Mus musculus: one gene and its partners. Each later gene encodes a partner of the first gene's protein in a complex. Links are inferred from orthologs where the notes say so. Each region holds a gene or a part of one and is shown on either strand. Other genes may lie near its edges. The genes, in order: Polr3c, Polr3k and Polr3g.

Evidence for each region.
Region 2: Polr3c (region 1) and Polr3k share a complex: the UniProt entries of both Homo sapiens proteins name them as parts of the RNA polymerase III complex. The link is inferred for Mus musculus from reciprocal best matches to the Homo sapiens genes POLR3C and POLR3K.
Region 3: Polr3c (region 1) and Polr3g share a complex: the UniProt entries of both Homo sapiens proteins name them as parts of the RNA polymerase III complex. The link is inferred for Mus musculus from reciprocal best matches to the Homo sapiens genes POLR3C and POLR3G.

Annotation. Positions count from the first base shown.
Region 1 is NC_000069.6:96,714,356-96,717,528, reverse strand, and holds part of Polr3c (DNA-directed RNA polymerase III subunit RPC3), read left to right. Parts: intron 1-723; exon of another isoform or gene 724-781; coding exon 782-862; coding exon of another isoform or gene 863-883; exon of another isoform or gene 884-1,017; intron 1,018-1,048; coding exon 1,049-1,100; intron 1,101-1,834; coding exon 1,835-1,895; intron 1,896-2,258; coding exon 2,259-2,409; intron 2,410-3,168; coding exon 3,169-3,173. UniProt on the Homo sapiens protein: DNA-dependent RNA polymerase catalyzes the transcription of DNA into RNA using the four ribonucleoside triphosphates as substrates.
Region 2 is NC_000068.7:181,863,008-181,867,209, forward strand, and holds the start of Polr3k (DNA-directed RNA polymerase III subunit RPC10), read left to right. Parts: upstream 1-1,352; 5' UTR 1,353-1,451; coding exon 1,452-1,562; intron 1,563-2,938; coding exon 2,939-3,026; intron 3,027-4,202. UniProt on the Homo sapiens protein: Core component of RNA polymerase III (Pol III) which synthesizes small non-coding RNAs using the four ribonucleoside triphosphates as substrates. Can mediate Pol I proofreading of the nascent RNA transcript.
Region 3 is NC_000079.6:81,697,447-81,701,097, reverse strand, and holds part of Polr3g (DNA-directed RNA polymerase III subunit RPC7), read left to right. Parts: intron 1-1,204; 5' UTR 1,205-1,237; coding exon 1,238-1,354; intron 1,355-3,651. UniProt on the Homo sapiens protein: DNA-dependent RNA polymerase catalyzes the transcription of DNA into RNA using the four ribonucleoside triphosphates as substrates.

The DNA of each region.
Region 1 (3,173 bases):
GTACAGGCATATACCACTACACTTGGTTGTAGTTTAATTAATTATTTATCACTGGACACTTGGGTTTTTTCTCCTTCTACTCTGTTTCTGTCAGGGTCTGACTGTGTAGCACTGGCTATTTAGAGCTCACTATGTAGACTAGACCCCAAATACAGAGATCTACCTGCCTCTGCCTCCCAAGTTTTGGGATTAAAGTTGTGCAGCCCTCTTGGCCTCTTTACTCTTATAAGCAATGATACTATGAATATTTCTTTTTTTTTTTTTTTTTTTTTTTTTGGTTTTTCGAGACAGGGTTTTTCTGTGTAGCCCTGGCTGAATATTTTTTTAAGATTTATTTATTTTACGCCGGCATGGTGACGCACACCTTTAATCCCAGCACTCAGGAGGCAGAGGCAGGCAGATTTCTGAGTTCAAGGCCAGCCTGGTCTACAAAGCGAGTTCCAGGACAGCTAGGACTATACAGAGAAACCCTGTCTCGAAAAAAAAAAAAAAAAAAAGATTTATTTTATGTATATGAGTACACTGTAGCTGTCTTCAGACAGAAGGTGGCACTGGATCCCGTTATAGATGGTTGGGAGCTACCGTGTGGTTGCTGGGAATTGAACTCAGGACCTCTGGAAGAGCAGTCAGTGCTCTTAACTATTGAGCCATCTCTCTAGCCCATGAATATTTCTTAAATACTTTTATGTTTTTGAAATCTAAACTTAGGACATCTTGTTTCAGTTACATTTAGCAATTCTGCGTTCTGACCCTGTTTCCAGCATCTCCTTCTGTCCCACAGATCTTCAGGTCCCTGCCCGTCGGATATAACATCTCTAAACAGGTTCTCGATCAGTACCTCACGCTGCTGGCAGATGACCCAGTAAGTCTCTTGCCCCCTTAGTCTGATCACAGTTTCTCTCCTATAGCCTTCTTGTGTACTTAGCCATCCCAGACAAAGTCCCTTCACCCAACAGGAAAGCTACCTGCTTCAGTCTCTTGACCAGATGTGCTCCGTGGGAAAGAGAATTATGCAGTTAACACCGTTCACTCTCTTTCTTCTTAACAGCTAGAGTTTATTGGAAAGTCTGGCGACAGTGGCGGAGGAATGTTTGTCATCAGTATCCTTTCAGCTGCCTGTCCTGTCAGGACCTCTGAGTTAGGAAGCAGGGCCTGGGAAAGATTGTTCTGGGTTTTTGTTGAGACAGTCTCTGTAGCCCAGCCTGGCCTTGAACTCACTGTGTAGCCTAGAAGTTGGCAGTAAAGTCCTGATCCTCCTGCCTTTACCTCCCAAGTGCTGAGTTAGACACATGTGCCACCTTAAGAAAAGAGTTTGTCAATGCTTAATATACTAAACAAGTTTTAAAAATGAACTTTCTATTAAGTTTTCTGTGAATTTCAGTGAGTTACATTAATGAAAATAAAAAAAGGCTCCAGCTGCCACTCAGTAGCACCACACTTACTGTTCTAGGTTCTGGGCCAGATCACCAGCATTGCCACAGACAGGAAGAGGGTGGGGTGGGCGGGGAGCTAAGAAAGGGAGGAAGCTGGGGAGAGGCCAGTGTGGTAGTAAACCCTTATAATCAGAGCAGTTTAGGGGCCGAGGCAGAAAAGTTTAATGGTCAAAGTCAGTCTGGCTACATAGCAAGACCCTGTCTCAAAAAAGAAAAGATTTAAAAAGAAAAAGAAAAAAAAAAAAAAAAAAACACTTAAGCAAACCCTACATATCAGACCTGAAATGTGAAAGCAAAATAGCAGTTAATTTTTAGTTTTAAATTAGGAATTTAGTCATGAAACTAAGGTAATAGTGACCAGGCTAAAACATTACTAGATGTCCTTAATCCTCTACCTAAAGACCTCCATAAAGCATTAGCGTCCCTAGCCACTGCAACTCTGGAGTCTGTCATCCAGGAGAGGTAAGAGGCTCCTTGACTGGGGTTGGGCTCAGACACTTGCTATCCACACCCCACTGAACAAGTCATTAGGTTTTTATGGCATACCCCTGCCACACTTGGTCTCATCTCTCCCATAAAGTTAATTCCTAGTTAGGCAAATTAACCAGCCACCCTAAAGCTCTGTAATACAAGCACTGTGGAGTAGGTAGGAGTAGGTAGGCATCTGGTAACGAGTTAGAGGAACAGTGCCATCACCAACCTCAGGAGCTGTGTCAGAACGGATGCAGTTTTCCTCTCGGGTCCCGATTCCACACGTAGACTAGTACCTCCACGCTCTGAGACTAGGAGCTAAAGCATGCCACGCGCTTCTTTGTCCCTTTCCAGATTCGGGTCTCGCTGTGCCAGGATATTCCGTCTGGTATTGCAGAAGAAACACCTTGAGCAGAAGCAGGTGGAGGACTTTGCAATGATCCCTGCGAAGGAGGCAAAGGACATGCTGTACAAGATGCTCTCGGAAAACTTCATCCTGCTGCAGGTGACCACAGCCCCAGTGCATGCTGAGCAGCAGGGCTGACCTTGACAGCCTGGGCCCCCAGACAGACACCATAACCACCTCTGAAGCAGAAAAAAGATTAACACAGACATAGCAAATCCTCCAAGGATCATGTAGACTTTAACTGGCCTCTCAGAGAGACAGACAGGGTGCACCAAGAAATCAGCTCACAATTATAACTTCCCTGCTCTTTCTAGCCTCCAGCCCATTATTCCTGACCTCTCTCAGCCTAGATCTTTAATAGAGTAACTTGTTCAGCATAGCTTGGATTCTGTAGTTCTGTATTGAGGACCCTTTGAAGACGTAGGTTGATAGATTTTGGAGTCAATTCACCAAGCAAGTCAACTACCATCCTCTTCATATCTGTAAAATGGTGGTGGCTGCTGAAATAAAAGCAGTGCTTTGCACCAACCACAGTAATGCATACCTATGATTCGGTACTCAGGAGAGTAAGGCTGAAGGACTGAATTTATTTATTAATCACTGTCACAGTTATTAATAAAGGCTTGTGTAGAGTTTGCTCAGTAAATATTAGTTGCCTTTCCTTTCTTCCACCCAGGATGCTGATAGACAAATGGAAACTGGGCAGCCTGCTCCATGTGACTGATTATGTCATAACCATAGCCCCTGATTGGCTAAGAAGGAAAGAAGATCAGTGCTGACAGTACCAAGTGGATGGCTGTTTATCTTGCCCATTCCAAATAACGTACAATTTCTCTCTTTATTTCTGTGGACAAACAGGAAAT
Region 2 (4,202 bases), on another chromosome or scaffold:
CCCTTGATCACTAATTGAGAAAATGCCTTACAGTTGGATCTCATGGAGGCATTTCCCCAACTGAAGCTCCTTTTTCTGTGATAACTCCAGCTGTGTCAGGTTGACACAAAACTAGCCATAAATATTTGGCTTACATGTCAAGAGTCCATTGTTTAGGGGAGTCAATGCAGGAACTTGCTGCAGAAACAGAAGCCATTACCATGGTGGGATGCTGCTTACTGGTTTGCTCCTCATGATTTACTCAGATTCTCAGATTGCTTTTTTCTCTCTCTCCATTTTGTTCTTAGACTTACTTAAGTGTATGAGGGTTTTTGTTTGTTTGTTTTTTTTTTTTTTTGAATGCTTGTTCGTGCACCAAAGACGTGCTTGGTGCCTACGGAGGTCAGAAGAGGGCATTGGATTCTCAGGAACTGGAGGTTATGGACGTTTGTGAGCTACCATATTGGTGCTGGGAATTAAACCAGTGTTCACTATAAGAACAAGCAACAGCTGAACTATCTCTTCAGCCCCATCATTCTGCTTTCTTATATCACCCAGGACCACTGGCTTGGTGGTGACACCGCCCCCAATGGGCTAGACCCTCTCCTACCAATTTTAACTCAAGAAAATGCCCCCAGAGACTTATTTACTGGTCAATTTATGGTGACATTTTCACAATTGGGGTTCCTCTCCCTGGATATTTAGTTTGTGTATAGTTAAAGCAAACAGAAAACAACACACACATACATGTGCATGTTGCAGAATGACTGCAGAGGATTAAAGAGGCAAGGAGTTTCAAAGAAATCTGAGAAGCCAGAGCTGGGAAATATAAATGTCTATAGGAAATGAGATAAAAGAGTCAGCTGGACGTCTGTGAAAAGGAGCTGCTGGTATTTGTTACCTGCAGGGTTGAGTCTAGCTGTGTAAGTGAAAGGGCAGAATGAAACTAGGTGAAGAAATGGCCAGATGGAGGAATGGCAGGTCCAGATAGGATATCGTACGTCAGTCAGACAGCAGTTGAGACGTAGTATTAACAATGGGGACAGTGTTCCTGGGACATTTGGTTATTTTCTGTCCGTTCCGGATGAGAATATTGCGGAGCAGCATGATCCTCCTGTAACACGTCCATGGCTCGGAGTGCGGCAAGTGTCTCCTCATCACCCAGAACCTCTCACCTGGGTACTCTGGTGGTGCCAGCATTATCGGTCCAGTCCTCTTGGCGTTTCAGCTAGGGAGACGTGTGCACACGCGCAGAAACGACAGGGCTGGGCGTGCAGGCAGCATGCTATTGGCTGGATGGGAAAGGATTATCTGCGGTGACCAATGGAGTGTGCGAGGCTGCCCGCCGCAGTGCCTACTGGGAACGTCTTGAGGATCCCGGGTTGCCAGTTACGGAGCAAGTGAGACGGCTTTTGATTGGGCGCCTGCACCACGGAAGCGCCAGACAGAAGCGAGGTGTGGAAGCTGGCAGTATGCTGTTGTTCTGCCCGGGCTGCGGGAACGGACTCATTGTGGAGGAGGGGCAGCGTTGCCATCGCTTCGCCTGCAACACTTGCCCCTACGTCCATAATATCACCCGTAAGGTAAGTTCCACAGACGGGTGCCTTCTCTGCTTTCTGGGAGGCACAGCAAGCGTCGGCGCGCTCAGACCTTCCTGCAGGCTTTTGTGCTCTCGCTGCGGTGGTACCCCAAGTCCAGCAGTCGCTGCTCCAGTGGCGTCGCTCCGGCCACGTCGAAGCCCCCCCACCCCCCTCTAGCTCTCCGTTGCCCACTTTGTGATACTCCGAAAATTGTGAGAATTTTAGTTCATACCTTTTAAACCTACACTCCCCTCGTGCTGTCCTTGGCGTACCAGTCCGCGCCTCGCCTCTGATTTGAAATCCTTGGGTTCTTCTTGTGGCTCTTTTGCTCCCAGCCCCTGTCGTTATTCTAGAGAATCTTCACCATGTACGCAGTACTGTTAGGTCCTTCCTTTTGCCCGAGTCATTCTTACACAGGCACATATCACACTTATTCATTCTCCGCCTTACCCCCTACCCCCGTGTATGTGTGCATGTATGCGTCTCTGTTTCCCTCTTCCTTTCTCTCTCCCTCTCCTCTTTTAAAATAATGGCTACCTTATTTAGATTCCTGCCCTTCTGGCTGTTTGTGCATGTCTATAATTTTAGCACTTGGAGAGGCTGCGGCAGGAGAATAGGTTCAAGGCTCACCTGGGCTGCATAGCACATAGACACGCACACACACGCACGCACAGGCACAGGAAACAAACCAAACCCCAGCACTTTCAGTTTATCCACATTCCTTTTATATTTTTCACAGAATGCATTGCCTTCTAATATTTTATATCCTTGTTGCTATTTTGTGTGTGTGGTGCTTGTGTTGGAGCCCAGAAAGCTGTATTTCTAGCCCTTGGTGTTTTGTGTACCCTTCAACTCTTGTTTTGTTCCTCCTTACCTCAGTGACTGCAGGTGTGCACCACTGGGCCTTGGTGACATCTCATTCTTAATGTTTGCTCATTAGAGCTGTATGGTAGGAGTTTAGAGTCTGGATTTGTGGTAAGATGAGTTGTGACATAATTTCGAAATTAGAAGGATGCCTGATAAACTTAGGAAAGCAGCCAAAATGACCTGGGGAGTGCTGGTATACCCAGTTAAATGTCTGTCACTCCTGTTGGATTATTAGGTGTCTGAGGGGTATGAGAGAAGAGTGAGGTTTTACTAGGCTGATTTTTCTTCCTGCTCTGTCTGGTGTTTCCTTCTGTTTCTAGAGACCTTTGACATTGAACCTCTGTGCTGTTTTGGGGGACATCCCAGTCACAAGACCCCTACATTTCAGTGACTCACACTGCTCTTTGAAGAAGATAAATTTTGTAGAGGGAATGCTGGAGGGAGATTGTAGTTTGGTGGCCCACTTGTAAAACTGTACAATTACTTCAAATCTGATGTCTTGTTTCTATTAGGTAACAAACCGAAAGTATCCAAAGCTAAAAGAAGTGGACGACGTGCTTGGTGGAGCAGCTGCATGGGAGAATGTGGACTCTACTGCAGGTGAGGATTTTCCCATAACAGAGCTAGGGACTCAACCCTGCTTATTATTACTCGTTATTATATTTAATAATAATAAATTTATTATTATAATGTAACCCTGTCTGTTATTAGGGCCAGTGAGATGGCTCAGCAGGTAAAAGCACTTGTTGCCAAACCTGTTAGATTCTTGGAGCCCAGAGAGTAGAAGAGAGCTGACTGATGGAAACTTTTTTTTTGTGACTCTGTACCATCCACCACACACACACACACACACACACACACACACGTACGTACGTGTAAGTGTAAAAGAATTTAAGAAGATGTAAATAACAAAGTAATGACAAATAGCTAGTGTTTGTCACTAACTCTAAACAAGGTTTTACATTTTTGTTGCTGTTTGATTTTGTTTTTTGAGACATGGTTTCTCTGTGTAGTCTGGGTGTCCTGGAACTTGCTCTGTAGACTGTGCTGGCCTCAAATTCAGAGATCTACCTGTCTGCCTCCCGTATGTTGGTATTAAAAGCATATGCCACCACCACCTGGCTGTATTAAATGTTTTTTAAAGTAGATTCTTTCAAGTATTCTTTAAAGGAAAGTTACCATACGGATACCTGAACTGTTGTTTCATTTAGACTCTCAAGTCAGATATGGAAAAGTATAATTAAAAATAAATCTGGTGCATATTCTCTTCTTGAAGCAAAATTGGAGTTCATTACAAAAAAGTTTCAACATTGATGTAAACATAGCTGTTGAGAGGGAAAGAGAGATCCATGCTCTAGCAGGTGTAGGCTTCTCGAGAGTTATGTTGTATGTATTTTCAAATACCAACACTGAAAAAATGATCAGCCCTGGTCTTTTATTTTCATTTTATTTTTTATTATATGAATTAAAAAAAAATTGTAACTAGGGGTGAAGCATGGTTGCTCAAGCTTATAATTCTGGTGCTCTCCGGGTATAGGCAGAAGGCTCAGTGCTTATCTGGGCTTCATGAGACCCTGCCTCAGTCAGTCTGTCAACCAAGAAATAGTTGGGTAGGATTTCAGTGGTTAAGTTGGATTTCCTTCCCAACTTCCATAGCAGCTCAGACCTTCTGTACTTGTAGTTTCAGGTGATCTCATGCCCTCTACTGGCATCCAAGGGTACTGCATGAACATGATTCACGGAATACCTGAAGGCAAAACATGCACATAAAATAAT
Region 3 (3,651 bases), on another chromosome or scaffold:
TTTGACTTAGGCAGACCTTTTCAGAGCCTTATGAATCCCTTTCATATTCCTAAAAGGACATTACAGCCCAGAGTCCTGTTTAACACTCAGATTCTAGGATAAATAACTTGTGTGGAGTTACAGTGTATGGTTACTAGCGCTCAAACTGACATAAGATTTCCTCTTCTCAGCCTGAATTTATCCATCCCCTCATGTCTTCCTCTTCCTCCTTTTCTCCTCCTCTTTCTTCTTCTGTATATCTGAGATCTTGTTATCACACCCCAGAGATGGAGGGAACTGTATCAGTTGGCTGTATAGTTCCAGCTGGATCTCTAAGGAGACCTAGGGTCAGCCCTTTCCTGAGGACCTAAGTGAAGGGGCTGTAGCCTTTAGGCTACATCCCTACTGGTGGTGGCAGTGAAACTTTAGCCGTCAGTGACACTTGTTCCTAAGCACATTTCTTTTTAACTGATAAGAAAATGTTTCAATCTATTCTAGTGACACTTTAACCTGCCTTCAGGTCCTATCAGATCTTTTCCTCCACCCAACCCCCACACCCTTTCTTTCTCTCTCTCTTTAAGAAGCAAAAACAAGAAACACACACACAAACAGAAACTAAAATATACATGCAATAGACCGGTAAGACAGAACTCCACAAAGCAATATAAAACAAAAATTCTTTTTAAAACAATTACGATTAGGACCATCAAGTTCAGACTACTGGGCCTGAGGCCTCCCCAGAGACTCCATTGGAGAAAACTAAAAACAAATTGTTACTTTGCAAGCAAGTATAGGCTGTATTGTGCCAGTGGTTTCTTGGTTAGGGGTGAGTGCCAGGATCTACTTGCCTTCCTTGTTGGAGATGGGGATGGGGATGCAGTCTGTCTATTTTACTCTCTTGGTCCTGGCACCCTGTTTAACTTGAACCCGTGCAGACCCTGCGTGTGGTACCACAGTCTGTGAGTTCATGTGCACCAGGCCTGTTCTGTCTTGAAGACACATTTTCTTTGCAGTTATCCATCTACTCTGGCTCTTACAATCTTTCTGCCAAAATATACATAGATCCCTGCATAGATCCTCTTCTGCTTAGATCCTTGAACTCTGTTCAAAATTATTTTAAATCAACCATGCTATATGAGGGCTAGAATCTTGTATTTTGCTTTAAAATGCTTGTTTCCTTTTGTGTATGATCCAGTGAATCTTACCCACTAATTGTGTCTTTCAGCATTGGTCCACACGGCTGCTATAGCTGCTTCCAATGGCTGGCAATAAAGGAAGAGGGCGTGCTGCCTACACCTTTAATATCGAAGCTGTTGGATTCAGCAGAGGGGAGAAGTTACCTGATGTTGTGTTGAAGCCTCCACCCCTGTTTCCTGTACGTGTGATGATAGCTCAGTTTTCACAATGTATTTTTGTGTTTCATGGGAAAGTGCAGTTCTGCTTAGGGCTTGAGTACATGCTAGTATCATGATATCCTCATGTCTAAGAGTAAGAGTATGTTGCATTTACTTTGCACTCAAACATCCGATTATTCTCAGATCCTGCTGAAGACTGCTTTCTTAGAAAACAGAGAACAAAAACTATGTATGTATGTATGTATGTATGTATGTATGTACAATTTTGTACAAACATGATGACTACTGTGTATACTAAGAACATTTATTTGAAATCTGTGTCTTCTACTGATGTCATTAATATATTCTAATTACCAAAATAATATTTTAAGTAGCCAAGTTAGGTTCATGATGCCCCTGGTGTAGCTAGTGGTTTTCTTCATATTCTGTATTTGTAAAAAAGATTTTGCTCCTTACTATGATGCCATGTTTGTCTCATCAAGTTTGTCTTTGCTGCATCCCTGTTCTGAGTCACTTCAGAGTTTGTTAACTGCTCAGGGCAGAAACGTTTCTCCTACTCTTGCGATTGCTTCTAAACTGAATGATAGAACAGCTGATGTTTCCTCTACATTCAGCTGAAAGCGGAAGTTTCCATTTCCAGATGGGTATGTGCTCCTGCTGGAAACCAACAATCATGAGTGACCTGACCCTGCATTAATCTGTCATGTTTCAGATGGAGAAGCCCATTGTTGAAGGACTCGTGGCAGTATAGAATTAGATAAAGAGATTATGCACTAAAAAAAATTTAATAGTTTGGATTTTTTTTGAGAATTTTATGTATCATTTACAGAATCTTATATATGATTCCATCGTTTTCACTCCTACTCATCCCATGTCCTCCACACTCCCTCTCAAATTCATGACCTCTTCTTTCTTTCTTTCTTTCTTTCTTTCTTTCTTTCTTTCTTTCTTTCTTTCTTTACTTATTTATTATATGTAAGTGCACTGTAGCTGTCTTCAGACACTCCAGAAGAGGGCATCAGATGTTGTTACAGATGGTTGTGAGCCACCTTGTGGTTGCTGGGATTTGAACTCAGGACCTTTGGAAGAGCAGTTGGCACTCTTAACCGCTGAGCCATTTCACCAGCCCCCTCATGACCTCTTCTATAATTATTGTTGTTATATGTATGTACTTTATATGTACAACATTATACACACAGGTACACATATGTACACATATACGCACAGCCTCCTGGGTCCGTTTAATGGTGCTCATATGTATGTGTGAAGGACTGACTACTAGAAACTGGATAACCTATCAGGGGCCTTGTTCTTGGAGAAAACTGATTTTTCCCTCTCTCTACAATAATTAGTTGACTATAGCTCTTTATGGATTGCCAGGGGCCGTGTCTTTTGGGGTTGAATTCCCTCATCCATGTTGGCGTTTCAGCTGCTGCTATCCTTATGAAGGTCTGTTTTGACAACAACACTGTTGAGATTTCATGGATGTGACTTGTGTCATCTCTAGATAACACTGTCTCACATCATGTGTCCTTCCTAGTCCCTGGGTTCTTTTCATTTCACTCGCTCTTCTCTGATGCCTCCTGAGGCTTAGGTGTATGCCAAGGACTAGCCTCAACTTGGAGAGGGGTTCTGAGAGAAGGGGTCTTTGAGAACAGTGAAACAAATGGGTTGAAGTCAAATCATGGGGTACAAACTGATGGCCTGTATTCTGCTTGAGATGGCTCCCTAGGTAGCTCTTTGTAGATAGCTCTTAGCTCTGTAGTCTGCTTGAGACAGCTCCCTGCTTGAGACAGCTCCCTGGTAATAGAAAACATTCTAAATGCTTTCTGGATAGCTCATAGGTTTTCGGATCAAAGTCAGAAAAGCTGCTAAAAAAATTATTGGATTTTCTGACCAAGTCAATGCTGTTAGAAAAGTTCTAAAAGTAATTATTGGGTTTTCTGATGAAAATCAGAAAGCCAGAAAAAAATTCTAAAAGCCATGTTAGCTCTCCAAGCAGTTCTCTCTGGATAGCTGCTAGAAAATATTCTAAGAGCTGGAATTACCATTCCTGCCTCACCTGGCCCTGGACCTAAACACCCTCTGTCCCAGGCTGAACTCAGAAATCTGTCTGCTTTTGCAAGCACAAAAACTTAGTTGGGTAGGATCTTGCCCTGTGATCACCACTCCCTAAATCTCTTTATCTCCTTACCTTGTATCTTTCTGACAAGTTGGCTCACAGTACTGCTGCCTCTGTTCATTTAGATCTGTGATGCTCCTTATATAATTCATATTGCATCCTTATTATTTTGCATAGTTGAGAAATTATATATTT